Linked DNA regions of Lepisosteus oculatus. The protein of the gene in region 2 interacts with the protein of the main gene of each other region in a pairwise test. Links are inferred from orthologs where the notes say so. Each region holds a gene or a part of one and is shown on either strand. Other genes may lie near its edges. The genes, in order: tbr1b and caska.

What was found.
Region 1: the proteins of caska (region 2) and tbr1b interact in a two-hybrid assay, tested with the Homo sapiens proteins (2 studies listed by BioGRID and IntAct). The link is inferred for Lepisosteus oculatus from reciprocal best matches to the Homo sapiens genes CASK and TBR1.

Annotation. Positions count from the first base shown.
Region 1 is NC_090707.1:14,385,359-14,393,292, forward strand, and holds the start of tbr1b (T-box brain protein 1), read left to right. Parts: upstream 1-4,387; 5' UTR 4,388-7,106; coding exon 7,107-7,798; intron 7,799-7,934. Other genes in the region: psmd14 (26S proteasome non-ATPase regulatory subunit 14), read left to right, coding at 1,616-1,690, 2,486-2,611, 3,117-3,179, 3,710-3,808. UniProt on the Homo sapiens protein: Transcriptional repressor involved in multiple aspects of cortical development, including neuronal migration, laminar and areal identity, and axonal projection.
Region 2 is NC_090710.1:3,905,428-3,913,386, reverse strand, and holds the start of caska (peripheral plasma membrane protein CASK), read right to left. Parts: upstream 3,710-7,959; 5' UTR 2,809-3,709; coding exon 2,750-2,808; intron 1-2,749. UniProt on the Homo sapiens protein: Multidomain scaffolding Mg(2+)-independent protein kinase that catalyzes the phosphotransfer from ATP to proteins such as NRXN1, and plays a role in synaptic transmembrane protein anchoring and ion channel trafficking.

The DNA.
Region 1 (7,934 bases), on a different chromosome or scaffold from region 2:
AACCAGCTCTTAAGAGTTAAGCTGTGCCTTAAACCACTCTGCCAAATAATGTGTGTTAGTGGTTTATGTAATGCAATAGTAAGTTTGAACTGTTCACATTTGAATGGATGATTTCTGAAACTGAGCAATTATATTTGAGATGATATTTATTGGTTTAATGAATTAATGTTAAAAATTATTTCATCTTAACCTTGTGTTTTTTATAGAATGAGCAAGTTAAATGTAGGAATGTCCAATAAATATGGGATTTAATTATTATTGATTACAAAGATGTTATTACCAATATAATATGTATTTAGGGAATGATATTTGCATCTAGTGTTCAATTAAAATGTGCTCTCTAAAAAAGATTGCCAGTTTTGCAAATAATAAACAAGTAAGGTATGTCGTTATTAGAATTCTGTGATCTACTGATGTACAGAAATAAAGCTAATTTAACATGGTAAGAAAATCTCCACTTTTATTATTGCCCAATTATTTCTATCAAGATTTTCAAAGTTAATGGTTATGTCTACAGTAAAACACATATGAGTAAACAAATAGCTGCAACTACCTCCCTCCCCATCCCAAAAAAACCCTGAGGTTTAGATAGCGTTGTCATTAATAATTACAGGTGTTCCTCAGAGATTCTGGGTTCCGATTCGGTTAGTTGTGTAACTAGCTTAGTCGAATGCAAATAACTTTTAAAAGTAAGACAAATAAACCATGGAACTGAATTGTTCCCTTGCCTGCAGTGGGTATAGAAAAAAAAAACAGCCTTAACTACAGGTCTGCTGTGGATGTTAAAGTGAACCATAATGAGTAGGAAATGGTCTGGCCTCTTGATTGGGCATAGGCAAGTCCATGCTTGTATGTTTCAAGAGAATAGATTACTGGACCTTATTGCACAGCTGTAATGACCTCTCTCGTTAACCTTATAGCTTCAGACCTCTTCATTATTATATAAACAATTTGTGGTTCCACAAAGCCTGTGTCGGAATATCATACAAAGAGTTTTGCACATTTAAATGTATCCAGTGGAAAAAAAACAATATTTTTTGTCTTTTCAATTTTAATAAAACAATGCACATTGTCTGAATGAGAGAAGTAATTCTTCTCTTTACCTCTAACACTTCTTTAAAAGATGTTGGCTAATGTAATTGACCTGCAGGGTTTACCCATGTGATTTGAAACCCTACATAGCCTTTGTCACAAACAGTGTGATGCACTTTAAATATAACCACTGTGGTCACTAAGAAGTAACATGTGGTACTTTTAATTGGTATCCTAAAGTAATATTAATTGGTTTGCACTAGGTACTCTAAAAAAAAATTGCAAGCCATATTTTAAATCAAAATTAAATTCTTACACATTAAAGCAAATTCTTTCCACTCTAAAATCAGTACACATGGGGTTTCCAATTCATGTTTGAATCTTGATAAAGTAGTTTAAGAATCTTAATAGTACTTTGTAGGTGGCTGAATGATATCAAAACTTTAATATATTGTAATCTTTGAGAATCATGTTCAAAAATTGTTTCCTTTGTACTCCACAGAGCTGTCAACCTTAATGTAATGTTTTTCATAATTGTTTAATCTATCACTGTACATTACTTAAACCTCGGTTTCTTTTGCAGGCTTTAATCCATGGATTGAACAGGCATTATTACTCAATTACCATCAACTACAGGAAAAATGAACTAGAACAGAAGGTTTGTAGTCTCTTCATTGTACTGTTTTTAGATTTTGTTAATGTAAGGTTGATTGAGTCTTTAAGATTTAGACAGTGTAACAAGAGACATTTGTGTTCTCTGTACTGATTTTGAATGGGAGTTATTTCTCAAAACTACGGAACAGACAGGAACATTTTATCAAATTGATTTTTGTTTTAACAGTCAGAGCCCATATTTATTAATTTTGATGCATTAAAACCTCACAACAGATGTTTAGATGTTGAATTAGTTAAATAGGATGCAGTTTAAACAATAAACCTAAGTTTACACCTAAAATAAGATTACCGTTTGAAGCTTTTAAAGAATATAAAAACATAAAAAGGGTTGCAAACGATAACAATTCAACCCACCTAGCTCTGCTAGCAGCTAATTTACCATTTTGTTTGGTTTCAATTGATGTAATGTTTTGCAAAGGTGGGTCGTTTACCATTATCACAGTACTGAAGTTAAAATAAAGCAATTTACTAATCACATGTAGGCAGTGCTCTTTACTGAATACTATGTATTTTCCCTATAACCTGGTTCTGCCTCTTAAAAACAGATTATGTTCTCCAAGTGAACATATAGGTGATCTCCAAATGATTAATGTATACAGACTCGGAGATCTAAATCCTACTCAGACTTGCTCCCAGATTTCCAGAATTACCAAACCCCAAAATAAATGGTAGTCTTTGTGGGCATCCTTCAGCACCGCAGCACACAACACTATTTTCTAGGTAATATATTTACTTTTAAATTTCATTTCATGCATGTCTCTAAAAATATTATTTTTAGATGCTGCTTAATTTGCATAAGAAGAGCTGGATGGAAGGACTGACCCTTCAGGATTACAGTGAACACTGTAAGCTTAATGAAACGATTGTGAAGGAGATGCTTGAGTTGGCCAAAAACTACAACAAGGTGATGTAGCAACAGACTTGCTGTTTTCTAACTACAATTAAATTAAGATTTCTTGTTTTTCCCTTTGCAGCGCATCAATAAAGACCTTTATTTAATGATAGCAAATTGGACTTTTTTACCTTCAAGAAGGTTATTGGCCAAATAGCCTAGTGGTTACACTGGAGTTGACTTTGTGAGACTATTCAAAGACTTCATTGTTACAAATCAAGTGAGAAAAAAAACTAATGGACAATCAGTATCCACTTCAGAACAGCTTGTGGCTGCTTGCATTGTGATACCACCAAGCCTCAAGTAACACTTCATTTTGTTACAGCTTTAGCTCTTTGATAAAACTAACAGTGCGCTCGCTACCTTAAGCAGAATTTAGATCGTGTTAAATGTACAAGAATTAATTAAATTATTGAAATTTCCAGAAATGATTAAAAGATGCTTCTGAGACAGGCTTCCAAAACATCTTTAAATCACTATAAACACAAAAATTAAATATTTTTGTTCCTAATTTTAGGCTGTAGAAGAGGAGGATAAGATGACCCCTGAACAGCTGGCAATAAAAAATGTTGGAAAACAGGCAAGTTATTTGTTTTTTATGAGCATTACTGTTTACTAAGAAGAGTCTCAGTATTTTTAAATTTAATAAAATACTAAAATGTAAATAATTCCATGCCATACAATATGTGATGGAATTCCAAGTATAATCTATGAAACTCATATAGAGTTCTAAATTCTGTATGCAAAATTGAAACAGAGGTGTTTAAGACATTTTCTTAAATGTAATCAGTTTGCTTTGATATTTTTTAATTGGTAAAACTGAGAAATAAGGATATTTTCATTTCCCTAGGTATACATCTTAGGTTTTTTTTACAGATGTGGGCTTTTTGTCTGTAATTTTTAAGCTAATTTTTTCATCTTGATTTCCTCTTTTGGAATGTATGTGATGTTCAACTGAACAGTTATGTATTGGATTTTTTTATTATATCCAAAGATGTAAAGGTGCTTTTCCATGTTAAAAATAAAAATGTTTTGTTACAACAAATGAACCATCTTAGTTGCCTTTGGCAACTTAAATGTTTAACAAATAACATTTTTCTTTCTTCACAGGATCCAAAACGTCATTTAGAAGAACATGTTGACGTTCTGATGACATCAAATATTGTGCAGTGCTTAGCTGCCATGTTGGACACAGTGGTCTTTCAGTAGTGCAGCCTTTGTTTAAAAGTCATACTTATTCTTTACTTTTTACTTCAGTTATTTTTTAAAAAAACAGTAACTTGTATAACATGTTTGTGAACATATTGCCGCTAATTAATTCCCTCAGAATAAATGTCTGGCCCCATCACTGATGTTGCACAAAACTTCAGTTAATGTACAGTTTGTCAGTTTTACATGCTAGGAGGAATGCTTTTTGTTTTTTGGTTCAGGTGCAGGAGAATACTATTTCGTCATGGTTTTCTTAAAATATCAGGTGCAGGTGAATGCTACTTTGCAATTTTCTTGAAATATCTGTAAAGATCAGGATTTATTTGTATGTAGTGATATTTATCACCTCTTAAAAATAAAGACAAAGATGACAAATTCAGAACCTTGATCTTTAACTGCCAATGCTTAATGTTGACTGGTTATTTCTTTGAACATAAAACATTGAGAATTTTAAAATAAAGTAATCCCATTTTTGATTATTTTTCAAAATTGTTTTCTGTTTTCTGCATTATCAGTGTGAAATGTTTTAAAAGAGCCATTTGATTTTTCGGATGCAGGACTATATAGAAACAGCTTTGTTCAGGAGCTTGGAATGATAAAAGTGAACTATATTTAATATCTATTTCTGAAACAAAGGCCTGGGATGTCAGAATACTTATGCATGTTAATGAGACTCTAAGCAGTTGCAAAAAAAAAATGTTGGATGTTGTATAATAAAAAGGTGAGGAACCCTTTCACATTCTTGTTCCACCTTCTTGAGGGCTTGAAGTCCTTCCTGAGTCCACCCACAGATAGCTAATTAGTTGCTGAAATAAAGAGGAAGGTGTTTTGAATCATTTGCCTTACACCTTGCATTTCCTCAAATGTAGTGTTTCTCACTGGACAACCCATAGTTGATTGCATGTGTGCATGGCAACAGTGTCATTATAAGGGGGGAAAAACTAATCCCTTACAGTGCCAGCTAAGGTAGACATCTCCAAGTGCACTACTGGCTTTGATTCTGGAATGGGGTGCTTTCTGTGTGGAGTTTGCATGTGTTTTGTCCAGGTGTTCTGGGTTGCACCCAGTTTTTAAAGACCAGTTGGCTAGGTTAATGGCAGCCTATGATTAGTCCAGCGTGTGTGTTTGCCCTGTGCCAGACTGCTGTCCAGTCAAGGATGTAGTCCTGCCTTTACACCTTTTGTCTGACGGTTAAGGCTTTGGCAGATTTTTTACATTGCTGCATAGAATGTTATAATGGAATTGTTGATGTAACATTAGTTCCCCTTGTAAATACCATTTAAAAATAGAAAAACGTTTCTTACATTTTCGTTTTAGTTTGTAAGATACATATTTCATCATCAGTTTTGATATGAATGGTTAGCTGTAATGTTTAAGTACACAGTCACTGTACACTGTGCTGTTCTTTTCCTGACTAAATTCTGAATGTTTAGGTGCTGATACAATGGATGTGGTATAGGAGAAAAATCTTTATCAACGAAATCGTATAGTTTGCTCTGCAAGCCCGGGTATCACTGACTTGAGCCATCCGATTGTAGTAACCCTGCGGTTATGTATTAAGATGTGCAAAGTCTAGATTATATTTTGCATTTGCTAGATGCAGAAATCAACACTTTTTCCTGAGTTAATTTAGCGTTCAGCCTCAAACCTTGGCCGGTCCGCTATCTGTTTTGCTCCAGTTTTGGCAAGAAACGCTGTCACAGTCCTCCACATCAAGAAGTCTCTCACACAGAAAAATAATTGGTCCAGTTCCTGCTGAGAAGATGAAATTCGCTGGGGAATATTTTTTTTTTCCTCAGGAAAACTCAACTACCTATTCGCCGTTCACCGGATTGTAATTCTTTGTTAAAAATGTTTTTTCTTGATTTCTAAGCGAAATGTTCCGAGTATAGCGAGAGTGAATATTATTGACCACAAGCTTTATTCTTGTCTTTTTCTTACCATATAAAACGGCCCTTTTAAATTATTTGAGTGCTTGTGGATCTAATTAATGTATTAGATGTGTACTCTTCATAAACTTTCATCTGAAACTTGATTTCAGATGTTTGTAATGTATAGGCCTGCTTCGTAGACAGTTTCAAAAATCAAAATTTTGTTGTTTTAAGATTCAGCGTCTGCGGAAATTGATTTTTAAAATACATATATGTCATTATACGAATTCTGGCAAAGAAGGAGGTACTTCAACATCGAACGGAATGCTCTAACGCATTAAAGTTGTATTGCTTCACCACGGTCGGCTTAACAGTCTGTAACTATACTAGGCTAACTGCGACCTTCATACTGTATATACACACGCATATATATAGAGAGAGAGCGAATTTAATTATATAATGTCAAAAAATACCTTGGAAGCCAAGAGGTATTTAACGCTTTTCATTTGGTGAATGCATTTTCTATTAGGTGACTTCTGCGTTTTGATTCATATCGAGTCCTAAGTACCAACATAAAATATTCATTTGCTACGGGACCGGTAAACACATCTTTAAAGGTACTGAATCATTTCACGCTATATCACCAACATTTTAAGGCATGAAGTGTGCTGTCATCTTCTGTATTTTAATAATAAATTGTTTCACTCATAAACATACTTTGCTACTCTTGCTACGTTAATGGGTAAATATTGTTCCCATTTCCCTCTATAATGTGTCACCTATAAATTGTTTTTTTTTTAACAGATTAAATGCACTAGAAAAAATGGTTCGCTTTTGCTCTTGGGGAAACCGGTGCGCTATCTACCATTTTCAAATAATTAAAAATTCTAGTAAAATAAACTGAAAAATATGTATTTCATGCACATTTATGTAAAGGCTTTATGTGTTCATTTATGTTTATATTTCGTTTATTGCGTGGGTGGTAATATCACAAATGGATAAATAGCACAAGCCTAATTTAAAATACTTTGAAATATTTGGGTCCACTTTCTAAGATCGAATTGTCCAAAACAAAGAACTATCTTTGATAGTCACAGAGAGACCCCGTATCGCGTCTGTGTGCATCTCTCGCTATTTGCTATCTTTGCGATTAGGACCCAGATGATTATCGTAATTAATGTCTGTCTAATTAAATTACTGTCAGCAACGAACCAATAGCAAAAGTCGTTTCATTAGCATTGCTGGCAGAAGGATCAAAAGCAACCTTGTCTGATTACAGCATAGTGTCAATTGGCTAATCGGCTGTCTAACAAAAACTAGATCAAACCACGGGAAGGCGTTTTCTTTCAAACTAGATTTTTGGGGCGTTAAGTTAACCGAGGAGAGGTTTCACAAAGGTTGCGTGAATCGCTTTTGTTTAAAGAGCTATGCAGCTGGAGCATTGCCTCTCACCATCTATCATGCTCTCCAAGAAATTTCTAAATGTGAGCAGTAGTTACCCAAACTCAGGCGGATCTGAGCTTGCCTTGCAGGACCATCCTATTATATCCTCCACTGACAACCTGGAGAGAAGTTCACCTCTGAAAAAAATTTCCAGGGGGATGACGAATCAGTCAGAGGCAGACAATTTTCCTGACTCCAAGGACGCACCGGGGGACGTCCAGAGAAGCAAACTATCTCCTGTTCTGGACGGGGTCTCTGAAATTCGTCATAATTTCGATGGATCTGCGGCAGAAAGGTATCTGCTGTCTCAATCTAGCCAACCCCAGCCTGCCTCCGCTGCACCTAGTGCAATGTTCCCTTACCCAAGTCAGCATGGACCAACGCATCCAGCTTTCTCTATTGGAAGTCCGAGCCGATACATGGCTCATCACCCAGTGATTACCAATGGAGCATACAACAGCCTTCTGTCTAACACCTCTCCGCAAGGCTACCCAACTGCTGGATACCCTTACGCCCAGCAGTATGGCCATTCCTACCAAGGAGGACCGTTCTACCAGTTTTCTTCTGCACAGCCTGGGCTAGTTCCTGGTAAAGCCCAGGTCTATTTGTGCAACAGGGCACTGTGGCTCAAGTTCCACAGGCATCAAACCGAGATGATTATAACCAAGCAAGGAAGGTAGGTGACCATTATTTTGGGTTTCCCGATTTAAGACGGCCGTGCGTTCGATGAAGACGAACTCGATAGAGACGAGAGAAAAACACGGTACGCTGTTAAAACTTGAATATGCTAACTGCGAAGGTTTTAAACCATC
Region 2 (7,959 bases):
TGAAGTCTGGGCATGATCATGCCGAGAAAAGAAAAGGCAATAAAACCTGAAGTCCTGTTAAAAGTGCTCACACCCTAGCTGAAGTATGGAAAAGTCTAAAAATCCAAAGAATCGTGCAGGTGAAATTAACTTTGTGACTTGTTTGTGCTGACCGACATGGCCGAAATACATCATACCTGAAAGAACAAATGACATCATTTCTCAAGGTTCTTCACTAATTCCCAGCTTCACGTTTTTGCTGTTAGGATACAGGGCATTGCCGTCACTCTGACAATATACAATATTATATGTTTTGAACTGAATTGCTTCCATTTACTTCAAACGCCTAGGTATTTTCCTGGAGCAAGCTGGTGCAACACCTTGTTCAAGGGAACACCTGCAGATCCACTGGAGTCTGAACCAGCTATCGTCACATTACAAGGCCAGAACACCACACAATCCCCCATTAAATGCATGTAAAGTCACAAAGTATTAGTGACTTTCACACAAACAGCACGTTGTGAAAGTGAAAGGCCTTGCAATATCACTCGAGTGGAGTATCGACCTTCCCCTTACTTTTTGATTTGTCACATTTTAGATATTAGGTTAACAGCACTTTGGCTTTGTAGCTCAGTTTGGAGACCATTTTTGTCCCCATCTATACACCACAGCTGTGCCATTCTCTGCTTTTGTCCATGACAAACTGTCTGGACATACGGAAACATTTATGTAATTGTGAACCTCAAAATGTGAAACGATGCCTTATAAATAAAATTGATTAACTGATGCTTCTCATTACAGTTGCTAGTAGTGGCTTCATAACTAACCAAAAATATTTACTACATAGGCTACACGTTACACCTCAATGCATATCTCAGATTACCTAATTTCTGTTCACAATTGTGAACTACCAGGCACCACGGCAATGTAATTTGGTGTTCACAGTCAGGCCTTTGGTCACTAATGTTATTAATAACTATGTGTACATCTGAACAGCCTCCTTCAAGTACACAAATGTACCCACAAATCGGAAAGCACACACTGTGACATGCACCAAATCATCAGCCACAGCACCCTGCATTCTGGTTCAAAAAGAGAAGGCACATCCTGTGCAGGACAGACGGTTTGCAATCTGGTGGAAAGCGATTCCTACACTAAACCGACTCCTGTATTGATTTGCGGTCTGCTGGAGGAGAAGGCCAGCACGCTATACTCACTTAGTATGTGGATCGTAGTTCACCTCATCACGCTATACTGTGTACGTTAAAACTCTCAAGAGGGCGGAGCAGTAAAGCTCTCCATAGTTTTCACTTTCCTTTAGCAAAACCTGTGCCACGATCACAGAAGCTCATTTTCAGGTTTTTGTCGTGATTCCACTTTTTGGTCACGAATTTTCCATTTGCATTCTCAAAACACATCAGCGCTCTGAGCTCATAGGCAATTACAGGGAAAGTCTCCCATTTAATGTTTCTTTGGTGGGGAAGAATACGTTAACGACCATCATGTGACCACATGCAATCACATGTAACGCTTCACACTGAGATGTACGTCAACTAAAACCCATTCAGAACGTAAGCGGGATTGGAATGGAAATGTTTAGTATATTGGGATGAAAAATCGTAAGATTGCGTAAACCCTTCACTTAATATACGAAAAGGCATGTTATGCCCACGTTAATAATCAAGACAACCTGATCATCCGTGCACCTGAGCGAAAGCTGTCAGCGAAAAGCAGACACTGCAAAATCACCGTGACCACAAAAAAAAAGTCCCGTCCACGAAAAGTAAGCGAAAATTACAACACACGACACAGGTGAAGCGTTCATTTATAAACGGATGCAAGACTGCCATCTCTTAAACCATACGGAAATAAAGCGTTTACTAAAGAAGATATCCTGTTCGTTGTTCTGAAAGGTATGCTACTGCTTTAAAACTTAATCCCCGTTTTGAATAATCTTGGTCTGGATTTATCCCTTGCCAAGCGTAATTACACAACACGGATAAAGAAAGCAACGGATGAGTTCCCGCAATAGTTCAAAATAAACACTGATGAAGTACACACAGTGTTATCTTCAACAGCAAACACTTTCACTTTGCCAGTAGCATGCAGAGAATTGCTCCATTGCATACGGTCGAATTTACACTAAGAGTTACGTGTAACATTCATGTTTCACACACAGCTGTCCATTACCATATCAAGGGCCGCCTACAGATACAAGGATTTTAGAAAGGGTTTAAAATGTTACACACATTAAGCACAAAATCTATACAGATTAAGCAGAATGCCTCTGCAAAACCACAAGATTGACTGAATCTTGTACATTGAAAACAAAGGTTTAAATGGAAATCTATGAATGTGTCAAATCCCACCTACTGCTGCCAGATGTTGTAACTCAATATTGTCAACGCCTTTTTTTCTGAATACGTGCAGTCTCTCCAAAACAAGACCTTTTAATCGAAGTGCATTTTAAAACTGTCAACTGAAATGTATTAGAGCAACCCCAGGCGAAACGGTCACTCGTTTCAACTCCTGAAATCGTGAATTATCTCCCAATAGACTCGGCTGATGCACCAGGACAGTCATTTTCAATTACAACAGCCTAAATCGTGCGCTCAGGAACATCCCTAAAAACCTCACACCTAGTTTGCCAATAAGCACACGATTAAACTCGTGAAGCCATGAACATCTTGCGTCAACGTCTGTAACTAAAAAAAAAAAACAGAATGCATTGCATTTCATTGTACAATCTGAATTTTTACACGGCACTTACTTTCCGATCACCTCGCAGAGCTCGTATACATCTTCAAACAGCACGTCGTCGTCGGCCATGGCCCAACAAGAATGGGGAAATTATCCCCCAATATGCCCAGCCAAAACGGTATATTTAAAAATAAAACAAAGGATCACAATTCTGTACTGCTGTTCTTGGACTGGGGGAGGGAAAGACTGGGAAAATCGCGAAACGCCGTTCGGTGGCTTTCCAAATTCCAATAGGCGGAAAATTACTCCTTTCCCCCACCAAAAAAAGCAAAGGCGCTCGGGCTCCGGCGATTTCTGCGTATTTTAGTCCGTTTGTCTGACTCGGTCTCCGGCCCCACCTTCTCCTCGTCTCCCCGGCTTCAATCCCCAATCCCCCAGTTCTGAGGCTGCAAACTGAGATTTTCAAGCGATTTAAAATAAACACTCCGCCTCTCCTACGCCTGCGTCTGCGTTGCTCCTCGGTGTAGCTGTAGCTAAAGCTCTCCCAGTCCACGCTGCGATGCCTCTATATATAGATTTATTTCTTTGAAATAATATTGCACGGGATTAATCCAACAAATTGCGATGCCCTCCTGGGCGTGCAGCTAGTTTGCACGCCGTGCTTGCTTGGGCTCCTCTTAAAAGACGCTCATTGTCTGTCTTTTCATGCACACGCTTTTTTCCCCGTGTGTGTTCAGGTGTACCAGCGCTGTAAAAAAAAAATGGATCTCCCAGTCTCTTCTCCAGTTCGCCGCTGCTCTAGTTTTCCTCTCTTACTCCGCCACTCCGCCGCCGCCACCGCCGTTGCTGCTGCTTCTGCTGCTCCGGCTTCCAGAAACGGCAGGCTCCTCCCTCCCAACGTTACGAAACTGGCTCCTAGAGCGCCATTGTGGCTCCATCGGGAGCCTGGGAATCCTGCAATGCACAACGCAGCCCGGGGATCCAAGATGGCGTACCTTTCGCCTTTTTTATTAAACAAGACGCAGTTTCCTGACTCCTTCTTAATAAAACCTTGCTCCGTGTCCACCAATCCAAGGTAGCAACGAAAGCCTACGGCGCACGCGTTGGGCACCTTATACCCATCGGGTGACGTCACCTCTTTCCTTCACAAATGCTTTTCTTTTTCCACCCAGCCAAGCAAAAGCGGGGACTAGGAGAGGCGGCAGGAGAGGTGGCTGGTGACTCACCGCACCTGGATGGGGCAGGGGAAAGAGTTCATTGCTGAGGCGTAGCAAAGGCTTACTCAGCTTGTGCGAAACAGAAAAGCTAGTTAGCGAAGGCAGCTTGGAGTGTTAATACCTCTATTTCATAAATCGTTGTGAATAGAAATATCCACTTGGAATTTTGTTAAATGTTTGCCACCTTGTTAATCATTGTTTAAAAGCCATTTGTAAATGAAATATAGGAAGCAAACTTCGAACCTCTTCATATTCGCACGTACTGTACAGTGAAACTACCGAATGCATTTTCTTCCTATAGCGCTGTAACCATCGTGATGACCTGCTAGCTCGTCTTCTGGAGCTCAAGTCACGAACACGAGATGACAGCCCTGCCACATCACATCACATCTTAATGACCCCACCTACAACATCAACAATACACTGTATTCATGGGAAGCCCTGTATCTGAAGAAAGCAGACACTTGAGCCACTGGCAGCTTTTGCAGTCACAAAGGCTGACCTCGGATACAATTAAAAGCCACCCAATGCTCCTGGATTTACACTTAGCAACTGGGAGTTCAGGATGTTAGGCGGGTTCACCGCTCGCTATTCTGGCACGCATGTGTAAATGGATCCTATTTGTAAGTGTTTTCAAACCGCCTCAAAATCTAAACGTTTATGACCTGTGTGTGATTGCTATGGTAGCACTAAAATGTTTGCTGGAGGGTATGTCTGCTGTCGGTTCAGCCTTGAACAAGACAGACGTGCACGTGAAAGCAGCTGTGCTTTAGCAAATCACAAAGCAAGCAGTTCTTTTTTTCTGCTTTAAGTCATTTATAAATTTAAGGAACAGTACCACTGGATATATTAAACATATTAAAACAAGCACTATTAAGAGGTGTTTAAGGTTGTAAATGTCACTTCCCTAAAAAACATTATGTCACCTTTGAAATTCCAGTTGAAATTCTAAAAACGTTAAATTTTATTGGAACCGTTTTGACAATTTATAACAGAGCTGTTAATGGAAACACACTATGCTATATTAAAAGGACCAAAAATAATGGAATTGTTCCCACAGTAGTGTCATTGTAGCCATGTAACACCTTTTTATTTTCCTCATTTACATGCAAGTGTTTGTGTCTGTTCTATTTTGTGCTTCGTGTTAGAGGGGTGTCATTATGTGCATGTGGAGCCTGCTCTTTTGAATAAAACTTCACATAAACAGGAAGCCATTCTTAAAAAGCATCCACTTAAGCAGAAATGGCAACATTCTTCTATTGCGTCATTGTGCTTTCAAGGCTTCAAACAACATCAGAATAATTTTACAGTTCGCATCTGGATGCCTTTTCTGTTTGAATGTTTTTTATTTTGGTCAGCCCCTTCCTCTGAGAAAGATGGATTGATAGTATTGCAGTCTTCTCGCCTAATTGGGGCTAAAATATTAAAAATCCATTCTTGTCTTTTGCTAAAAGAAACAATAGGACTATTGTTTTTCTTTTCCTTTGGTTCCAGGGGGTGAGCCTAGCTTTTGTTTTTTATTCCTCTTTATTATGCATAAAACTTTATTTTTTTCAGCATGGAAGCTTCTCTGGAGAGATTCCTGGGAGATTTCCATCAATGCTTCTGGAAATTGTGAGAGTGAATAAAGCAAAGAGCTTTAACAAACAGCATGACAGAGCTGTCAAGCAATGTAACATGCAGAGAGCATTCCTTCCTCACGGATACAATGCAACCTCTTTCAAACAGAGCAGGTCATTTACTGCAGTTGTCACTAACGCATGTTATTTGTACTATTTCCATGGCCCATTCCTGTAAGACATTGGGTTGCCTGAATGGGCGGAATTTCAAATCTAAGAAAACATGGAAAAGGAATAAAACTATGGCATTTTAATCAAGAAGGAAATGTTCAAAGTTATTATTATTCTGAAAACTTTTGTTCTGTATACACCCAAGTACTCTTGTAAGCTTTTGTAGTGCCAAAGTATCTTTTAACCTCAATAAAACACTCTTTATCTGGAGATCACACAGAGGTAAAGCAAGGTGCGGAGTCAATTCAGCTGTAAAAAGTCCGTTATAATACCAATATTAATATCAACATAAGACCAGAAAAAAGCAGACACTAACGAGGGAGTATATAGTAGCCTGGCCTTGAGAATCACATAAGTTTCAACATTGACACAGATAGGAGCATTTCACCATTTCCGAGAAAAAAACAACATTACTCGCCAATTTTATTTCTGTCCTTCTGTAAACACCTCGTCTGGAATTGCCAGACTCATGACTGCAGCTCTGCATGGACTTGGGAGGCTTAATGAAGACATTAGACAAGCATCCTACTAGACAGAGGGGGTGCCCAGCCAGCTGCAATTTTTTTTTGTTTGGCAATTAGATTCTGCAGCTCTGAATAACAAAGTTCTTCTTTCAATAGAAAGAAGGGAAATAGCTGCTACTGATAAATAGTCATCAGTCATGCAAGCATATGGTCCGAATCAGTGGTCAATGACATACAGTAGAAGGGAATTTCTCAAGAGTGGTGGGTTTGGACCTAAAAGTTGAATGGACCTAGAAGGATTCTTGGGAAGCTGGATGAGAGGGTGTTGTACTGCTTGAGGTTTGTTAAATTCATGGGGGGGTTGAAGGCACCCCTGAAGTACAGAGATCCACCATCCCAACACACGACACCTTCACAGCAACACCCACAGGAAACCACAGCCAAAGCCAGGATATGCCAGAGAGTGTAACTTGTATGTGAACAGTCTCCAGGCTGTCATATGAGCCACTCAAGAGGCTCTCAGTCACTTCTCTGTTCAAAAGGTTACTAGAATGTATTCATGTATGATGGATGGATGTTTGCCCATTATGCCTTCTGGGATGTAGGGGCAGCAACATCCTGTTTCATCCTGTCCATAACATTTTGGGTTTTGTTACAGGACAGGGCTGTTCACCTTGTGCCCAACCTCCAACGTGGAGGACCTGGCGCCCAACGAGGGACACAAACCCACTATCCTGAGATTATGAGTTTCAAGCTCTATCACCAGAGCTAGTTAGGGCTGTTAATGTATGATGGGGTGTCCCTTTATTTTCTTCAAAAGCTTTAAGGCTGTCTGGCATTGTCTCAGATGTCTTTTACATATAATATCGCCTTGCACCTGTCACGCCCTCTGCAGCCAGAGGGCGCTCCTTCTCTGTCCTGTCCCTAGTTTCCTGTGTTTGCTCTCCTTCCGGTGTCTCTCTCTCTGGGGCTATATATTTCCGGGTCACTTATTCTGCTTCGCTCAGCATTGATGTTCAGATGTCCTGAGACCCGCCTAGCACCAGGTCGCCGCTCTGTCCGTGGCCTTAGGGCTTAGGTTTCTATACAGCACTCCAGAACTCTTTGCACTGCTGAGCCCGGGCTAACTCCCCGTTCCGCCACTTCGCATAGGGTGTTTTTCGCTCTCCTGCCTCTCCACGGTTTGTCCCTTCCGACATCTGTGACAGCACCCTTCCCCTGTCATGCATTTCAATGCAGCTCACATGTGAATAAGGTGCCATTCAAGGCTCTACGGGGTACATAGTCCATCCAAGATCACTTTGTACTGCAACGTCATCATTATTTCCATTCATGCGACCTGTAAATAATGGGTGCGGCTACACAATATTTCACAGTTTAATTTCTCAGTTTTGAAAAATGACATCTGCTGTGCCTTGTTCTTGAGCTGTTTTAACTGTGGAACATCTGTCCCCCTCTGCCTTCCTGATAATCAAGCGATCAGTTTTTCATCTGTCTCTTTAGGTATGCTACATTATTTTCACCGATGTAGTTGCAAACATTTTCAACAGAAGAGTGGACAGGCACAGCCTGAAAGCTTCAGTCATACGCTTAAGTCTTTGTCTTAGCCGGAAATCCTTTTTACAGATGTCTAAATGTCAGTAGGTTAGTTCTTCTTTAACCAGGAAGCAGCTCTCCTTTAGAATAAGCACAAAATATAACTATTTACATAAATCAAAGCAATCATAGTATTCTGATTCTGCTATGGGGTCTATGGGGCTAGTCTTATATATAAAGCCTTTCTAAATGAGAACCAGTATTTTATCTTTA